Linked DNA regions of Rhinolophus ferrumequinum. The protein of the gene in region 1 interacts with the protein of each later gene in a biochemical or structural test. Links are inferred from orthologs where the notes say so. Each region holds a gene or a part of one and is shown in the gene's direction. Other genes may lie near its edges. The genes, in order: DOK1 and TEC.

Region 1 (3,904 bases):
TGGGTAGGGGGGATGGGGTGGGATTGCCCAAGCCTCCTGCCAACATCACCACCACTGTCACCGGGCAACCGGAGGCCAGGGCACCCTCAGCTCCTCAGCCAAGGCCTGCCCCCTGTCTGAGGCTGAGAACAGACCCTCTACTGCAAGCCCCCGCAACATGCTTCCCCTGACTCAGACAAACAACCCAACAGGGCAGCTTTGTTCTGGGGACATTTTGGATTGGGGGCCCAGGGGTAGGGCTTCACCGAGGAGTCCCCAGCCTTAGGGCCCTCCCTGCCGCCCTATTCGGAAAACCCTGCAGGGCCCCCTCCCCCCAAGTATCTGTGTCCTCTCTCCACTCTTCTCGTCTCACTCTTCTTTGACAATAATAAAACGCTCAGCTGGTGGACTTCCCCTCACTCCATCCCACATCACCCATTTGCCCTGGTCCCTCCACCATCCTCTCTATCCGAAACTCCCTTTGCTCCCGCCGGCAGCTTGACTCCCCTACCTTTGGCTGAGCCGGGGGCCCTTGGGGCTGGAAGAAGATTCCTGGTCCTGGAGATCAGTTCTGGGACTTCCAAAAAAAAAAAAAAAAAAAGCTCGGCCAGGGAAGACTGGACACCCCCTCCCCTTCGTCCCTCCCACGTCCCCTTGAGCCCTCCCACATTCCGCCTTCTCCCTGGATTCCTCCCAGGCCAGTTCCCTCCTCTTGGACCTCCCCTCCCTGGTGGAGCAAGCTGGCTGCAGTCGTTCCATCTCCCCCGACTCTCGTGTCCCCCGCCCCCTGCACCTCCTGGCTGGCTCAATGAAGCTTTCTTTTCCCGCGGGTTGGAGGACAGGCAGCTGCTGTCAGGGAGCTGGACAAGCTAGAGGCCACTGGGCCGCACACCGGCCCGGGAGGCGGCCCCTGTGGCGGCGGGAGGCCGCGGCTCAGCTCGGGACTACGGGAACCCTTCCAGTCCTCAGCCCCCAGCCCTTCCCCCAAAGTCCCAGGCACCACCGAGAGTAAACAGCCGGGCTGGGGGCGGGTCCGGTCGGAGGGCGGGAACGGAGGCCCTGAGGGCCCACGGGGCCCCTGTGGGTGCCCGTCGGCATTTTCGAAGTGATGTCACGGCCTTCACTTTGATGTCACGTTGAGCATATGACTTGTACGAAGCGCCCAAGCCCAGGCGCCAGGAGCCCTCTGGCCGAAACCGAGAGGTTTCTTTTAGTGAAGACACTTGTGCACGTCCCAGGACTGTGGGTAGGGGCCTGGAGGGGGTGCACCGCCCAGCTAATCTGGGGACCTCCTCTCCTTCCTTCTGTTTCCCTCCTTCCCTCATTACGGTCCGCAGGGTCGGGGCAAGGGGCGGGAACGCCTGGGTTGGACACGGCCCCGCCCCGCCCCGCCCCCGCCCCGCCCTCAGGCCTCAGGGCCAGGAAGCGCGGAAAGAACCGCCCGGGGCCATGGACGGGTCTGTGATGGAAGGGCCGCTCTTTTTGCAGAGTCAGCGTTTCGGTACCAAGGTAGTCGGGGGCAGGGGTACCGAACCCCATCAGAACTTAGGGGTGGGCGATAGGGCCCAGTAAGAGGGAGTAGGTGGGTTGCGGGTAGGAGCGCGGCGCCAGGAGCCGGGAGCCCTGAGACGCTCCCGCCGTCTGCCCGCCTTGGGGTACGCCCTCACTGGTCTTGGGGACATCCAGCGGCATACTTTTCGGGAAACTTCGTGCCCGTCAGGAAGCCTCAGACCCGAAAGCGGCCTCCGCTGGTCCCTCCTTTCCGTCGGGGCCGGCCGCCGGCTGTCGCCCGCTTCTTGCCCAGCGTCGCTTGCTCTCTCTCCTCAGAGGTGGAGGAAGACCTGGGCCGTGCTCTACCCGGCCAGCGCCCACGGCGTAGCGCGCCTCGAGTTCTTTGACCACAAAGGGTCGAGCTCTGGAGCGGGCCGAGGGGGCTCGCGCCGCCTGGACTGCAAGGTGATCCGTTTGGCCGAGTGTGTGAGCGTGGCGCCGGTGGCCGTGGAGAGTCCCCCGGAGCCTGGCGCCATCGCCTTCCGCCTGGACACTGCACAGCGCTCCCACCTGCTGGCGGCCGACGCGCCGTCCAGCGCCGCCTGGGTGCAAACGCTGTGCCTAAACGCCTTTCCGGTGAGCGGGCCGGGGCTGCCCACGAGGGGCTGGGGAGAGCCGCACTGGGCCCCAGAGGCGATGCGGCGTGGGGGTAGTTACAGAGGCAGAGGAACTGGGCTGGCCCAGGCCCTGGGGACCGCGTTGAGGGAATGATAGGGTCCTCAATACTCTCGTTCTCTTTATCCCAGAAAGGCAGCCGGCCTCTGGCGCCTGCCGAGAACCCACCCAAGCTTTCTGCCCTGGAGATGCTGGAGAACTCGCTGTATAGCCCCACCTGGGAAGGTAGCCGCCTGAGAAGCTGGGCAGGGGTGGGGTGGTGGAAAGGAAGGGTGCCCCTAGGAAGGGACTGATTAGGGGTCCAGAGACCCACGAGGAGGGAGGAAGTTCCTGAGAGCTGGTTTCCTAGTGAGTGCTGGGAGAACCACGCCCCCACCTCCTCGGGTGTCAGTCTAATTGTGTATCTCTTCCAGGATCCCAGTTCTGGGTCACTGTGCAGAGGACTGAAGCGGCGGATCGCTGTGGCCTGCATGGCTCCTATGTGCTGCGAGTGGAGACTGAGAGGCTGGCTCTCCTGACCGTGGGAGCTCAGAGTCAGATACTGGAGCCACTCCTCTCCTGGCCCTATACTCTGTTGCGTCGCTATGGAAGGGATAAGGTGCTGGGTTGGGGGTGTGTGTGTAGGATGGGGTTGCTGTCAGGGAGGATTGGCTTCCTGGGGCTGGGGCTGTGGATGGGGTGGGGGCAGGGCAGGAAGGTGGAAGCTCTGCCCTCTGGATAACCCTTGCCTAGTCTATGAGCCCACCTCCTTCCCAGCTAGTCTTGTCTTTGTAGGCCCCCTAACTAGTTAAGCCCTGTGATTTACCTCCCCTGATAGCTTCTGATAATGTGTTTCCCCCCATACTCTCTTCAGGTTATGTTCTCCTTTGAGGCTGGCCGCCGCTGCCCCTCTGGCCCTGGAACCTTCACCTTCCAGACGGCACAAGGAAATGACATATTTCAGGCAGTTGAGACAGCTATCCAGCTGCAGAAGACCCAGGGCAAGGCTGGTCAGGGGCAGGAGGTCCTCAGAGCTGACTCCCAAGAAGAAGTGGCAGAGGGGAAGCTGGCTTCCCTCCCTGGCACCCAGGAGCTCCCCGGCAGCCTTCCAGCCCTGTATGCTGAACCCTTAGACTCCCTGCGCATTCCTCCAGGTCCTTCCCAGGATTCCCTATATTCAGACCCCCTGGACAGCACCCCTGCACAGGCAGGGGAGGAGGCACAGTTAAAGAAAACTATCTATTGGGACTTGTATGAGCATGTGCAGCAGCAGTTACTGAAGACCAAGCTGAGAGACCCCAAAGAGGACCCCATCTATGATGAACCTGAGGGCCGGGCCCCGGCCGCTCTCCGGGGTCTTTATGATCTGCCTCAGGAGCCCAAGGATGCATGGTGGTGCCAGGCTCGGGCGAAGGAGGAGGGCTACGAGCTCCCCTACAACCCTGCCACTGACGACTATGCCGTGCCACCCCCTCGGAGCACGAAGCCCCTCCCAGCTCCCAAGCCCCAGGGCCTGGCCTTCCCTGAATCTGGTGCTGCAACTGGCAGTGGCAGCAAAGACCACAGCTTATCAGACACTGCCCTGTACAGCCAAGTCCAGAAGAGCAGGGCCTCAGGGAGCTGGGACTATGGGCTCCCTAGAACAGGGGCCGACAGGACTGGGGTCAAATCAGAAGGCTCCACATGAGAAGTAGGGCAACGCTGGGGTTGCTGATAGGAGGACCATGGGGATCAAAGAAACCTGTTAGAACCAGTGGAAACCAGAGGGCTGGAGGGCCTG
Region 2 (3,904 bases), on another chromosome or scaffold:
GGAAATTATGTCAATCAGTCAACTTGAGTATCTGACTGGGCTAAAAGGCAGGAGAGACTGGGCCTGGGAGGAGACAGTATATCACAAAAGAGAAATTTTACTAGATTCATTCTGAGGACAGGTCACATTATGTTCAGGGTCCTCACCGGAGTGAAAGAAGATTTGGAGTTAGAAGGCCTTGGTTCAAATCCGTGCCCTCTTCGCATACCCCTGCTTTTTTTTTTTTTTTTTTAAATTTTATTGGGGAATCTTGGGGAACAGTGTGTTACTCCAGGGTCCATCAGCTCCAAGTCGTTGTCCTTCAATCTAGTTGTGGAGGGCGCAGCTCAGCTCCAAGTCCAGTCGCCATTTTCAATCTTTAGTTGCAGGGATCGCAGCCCACCATCCCATGTGGGAATTGAACCGGCAAACTTGTTGTTGAGAGCTTGCGCTCTAACCAACTGAGCCATCCCGCCGGCCCTCCAGCAGATCAGCGGCAGCTCATTGTTTTCAATCTAGTTGTGGAGGGTGCAGCTCACTGGCCCATGTGGGAATTGAACCGGCAACCCTGTTGTTCAGAGCTCGCACTCTAACCACCTGAGCCACCTGGCCGCAAACCCCTGCTTTTTCTAATTAAGTAAGTCATTAAACTTCTGTACCCTTAGATTTCTTTTTTCTATAAAATGGAATTTTGTCAGATTTCTTCTCAGGTTTATTGCATGATTAAAGGAGAGCCTATAGGAAGGTATATTTTTAAGTCCCAAACAGGCATGAAGTATGATAACTATTAGTGCACTTGCCATTCCTTTCATCTTCATGTTGACTGCCCAGGTTCTGTCATTCAGCTCTCAGCTCCACGGTCACTTCCTCAGAGAGGCCTCCAGGACCACCAGATCTAAAGTGGCCTCCCCCTTCACTCTCAATTCTATCACTCAGCTTCATTTTAGTCAAGACACTTCCCACATATGCAATCGTTTTCTTTTTACTTGCTTATTGATTACTTACTGTCTTTCTCCCTACACTAGAATAGAACTCCTTGAGGGCAGAGCCCTGTTTTGTATTCCCTAAGCCTGGAAGAGTTCATGGGACATGGTAGACACTCAGATTTTAGAGTCAGGATAGCAGTGGTTAAGGGTGCGGACTCTGGAGATTATTTAACTCTCCTCTACGCCTCCCTTTTACCACATGTAAAAATGAGGGATTCTGATAACAAATACGTACTTTATAGAATGGTAATATATGTGAAGTATGTAGAACAGTGCTTGGCACAGTGTCAGTTTTATATAAGTACTGATTTCTACTCTTCAATGAGTTTGACAGAAGTGTTAATACATGAACATGAGTGCAGGTGGCCCTCTAAGTGTGTCAGATATCCTCCGCGGCCTCAGGTGTGACAGTGAAGACTTACTCTTTTGGTAAAGCTCGTCGCTTCGCTCCACTGCCCTGTCATCCGCCTGGCCCCCCACCGCTTAGCGGAAGAGGAGGTGTGGTCCCTAATTCCGACAGAGTAACCAGTAACCCACAGGTGGCACCGCTCTGGGTGCTCCCAGGCCAGGGATGTACGAGCTCTCGCGGGGCGGTTCTCCGGGACAGGAAGCCCGGGACTAGGGAGTCCCTGCGTGTCGTTCGGGAACACAGGGGACACTTTTGCGACTTCCCCGGAACTCAGGCCTCGGGTCTCAAAACCGTGGCAGGGCGGTGGGAGCCGATCGCCGCCCGCGGTAGGGAGCGGGGGCGGAGCGACCGGGGGACGGGGCGGGGCGGGATGGTCGCGGGCGGGGCTGAGAGGCCCGGAGCTCCGGACTCCGCCGCGCCCGCCAGACCTCGCATTCTCTCCGGCTCCGCGCAGCCTGCGCTCTCCTGCCAGGTAAGGGCGCCGTGGGCCCTCGGGGGCACCCCGGGGACTGCAGGACTTCGGGCGAGGAAGGGTCGGGACGGGGATGCGTGCGGTGAGAGGTGGCTTCCACGTGCTTCGAGACTAACCAAGACTGACCATCGTGGAACGAGGAGGGATTTCCCCACCTCCGCGCCGCGGTGAGCGTGACGCGCCACGCCAGTGCGGGATCCTGTCCTCTTCGGTCCAGGAAGAAGGCGCAGGTAGGGCCGTTTCGGCGGCCGCCGCCCCTCCGCCTCCGGGGCTCCGGCGCTGGTCTCTCCCGAGGAGCGTCCGCCCCTTTCTCCCGGGGTCCCGGGGCCGAGGCAGCTTCGCGGCAAGTTCAGGGCTGGGTTCGCTTCCCAGCAGCGTGGCTGGGTAGATTCCTCCTCTCTGCTGGGGCGGCAGCGCAGGCTTGATTGAAAGTTGGCAGAAGCGACGCAGGTATTCCACAGTTGCCCGGGTCCGAGTGCCTCACCCCACCAACTTCACACTTTTTTCTTTCTTTTAGTCTGGGAAATTGTAGTTAAATCTTGAAAACAGGGGTTCAGGGAGTATATCATTAAAACTAGGGCCTTGATCGACCCAGGAGTATTCACTTTAACTCCTAAATTCAGGTTTGGAAACAGTCTCATCCACTGCCATTCGTTGGAAACTGGCATATTTGATGAGAAGTGTAGATCTCGGTGTTAATTGGATGGCTGGAGGCTAAGTGGGTTTGAAGGTTATCCAAAATAGTTACTTTTTGAGCATATACCCTGCATTTTCCCCAGTGAGTGCCTATTTTTCCTTTTAGGAAATTCTGAGAATTAACTCTCTTCCAGATGATTCTCCCCTAAAGAGCTGGGGAGGAAAAATCAACCCCTACAAACAAGTGGGTTTCCAAAATAAGTTCAAGATTTGTCAGGTTAATTTGTGACACTAGTAGCTCCTTAGTCAGGAAGAATCTCATGCAGTACGGAATGTTATGATTTATATGGAGAAAAGAAGTGTGTAATTTTCTCATTAAGTATTTGAAACTAGTTTTTAGTTTAGTGACATTTTCACGTGTCTAGGAAAGACCTATACTTTCCCCATGCTCCAGTTCATCTGATCAATATATTACTACACTTGCCAAGTCATGATGCTTATTGCAGTGGGTTTGTGTTAATGATCTGGAGTCTTCTCACAAGGATGTGTACATTTTGGTTTGTGGAACTGTGTAAGGCAAGTGAAACTGTAAGGCAAGTGTTACACACATGCAAATCAGTACTGTGTTCTAGTCAGCAATACCTTTGCCGCAAGTAGGTCCTTGAACTAAAATTTTCACATCTCAAATAGGAAAGAATATAGAATATTAATGTATGCTCTAGCACTTTTAACTTGATGTTTCCCTTATTCTGTATCAAGAATAAGAATGTTTTTTTCAGCAGCTAGTTACTGAAGGGCCGGGACTCTGCTTTGTCATCTTATGGTAAAGCTCAGAGAATCGTGACTTTTGCTTCCTGAAGTTGGCCCTTGACAGGGTGGTTGGAGGGATTGTGGGTGGTGTCTGGCCACTTTTATGCTTGGGGAAGAATTGTTGGTCTCCCTGCCTTCCTTTGAGTATTCAGAGTGCTAGGAGCCTGGGCCTTGGGCCTCTGAGCCTGCAGGTTTCTCCAGGTTGACCTAGTTGGTGCCTCCTCTCTCTGGCCCAGCTCTTTCAGCTCCTTCTCCATCCTTCCTATCCCTTCCACCCCACTCCATCCATCCCAGATTCCCACCCCTAGGGAGAATCACCTTTTTGTTCAGGGCAGGGTGACTTGGTCCACATAGTTGATAGGCGAGTTGATCCTCAGCCTGGTGCTGGGTTTGCTAAGGATGCTCAGTAAATATCTGTTGATGACAGTGTCACTTGTTTCAGATCCCTTACTATGCTCTCCTCTTATCCAGTCTTCATAGGCAAATTGAGTAACCCAGGTTGAACCCAGATCAACCGCTTTGGGGGCCAGCTGCCTTGGTTGGTTTAGGGTCATAAATTGGGCATTCAGACCTGTGAGAAAGGAGTAAAATTGGTCCATGGTCACTGGCAAT

What was found.
Region 2: of the proteins of DOK1 (region 1) and TEC, one has a biochemical effect on the other in vitro, tested with the Homo sapiens proteins (2 studies listed by BioGRID, with this or other methods). The link is inferred for Rhinolophus ferrumequinum from reciprocal best matches to the Homo sapiens genes DOK1 and TEC.

The regions. Positions count from the first base shown.
Region 1 is NC_046296.1:17,510,211-17,514,114, reverse strand, and holds the start of DOK1 (docking protein 1), read left to right. Parts: upstream 1-1,353; 5' UTR 1,354-1,428; coding exon 1,429-1,488; intron 1,489-1,673; exon of another isoform or gene 1,674-1,798; intron 1,799-1,806; coding exon 1,807-2,106; intron 2,107-2,276; coding exon 2,277-2,370; intron 2,371-2,558; coding exon 2,559-2,743; intron 2,744-2,998; coding exon 2,999-3,811; 3' UTR 3,812-3,904. UniProt on the Homo sapiens protein: DOK proteins are enzymatically inert adaptor or scaffolding proteins. They provide a docking platform for the assembly of multimolecular signaling complexes. DOK1 appears to be a negative regulator of the insulin signaling pathway.
Region 2 is NC_046288.1:8,158,652-8,162,555, forward strand, and holds the start of TEC (tyrosine-protein kinase Tec), read left to right. Parts: upstream 1-1,725; 5' UTR 1,726-1,744; coding exon 1,745-1,846; intron 1,847-2,276; exon of another isoform or gene 2,277-2,296; intron 2,297-3,904.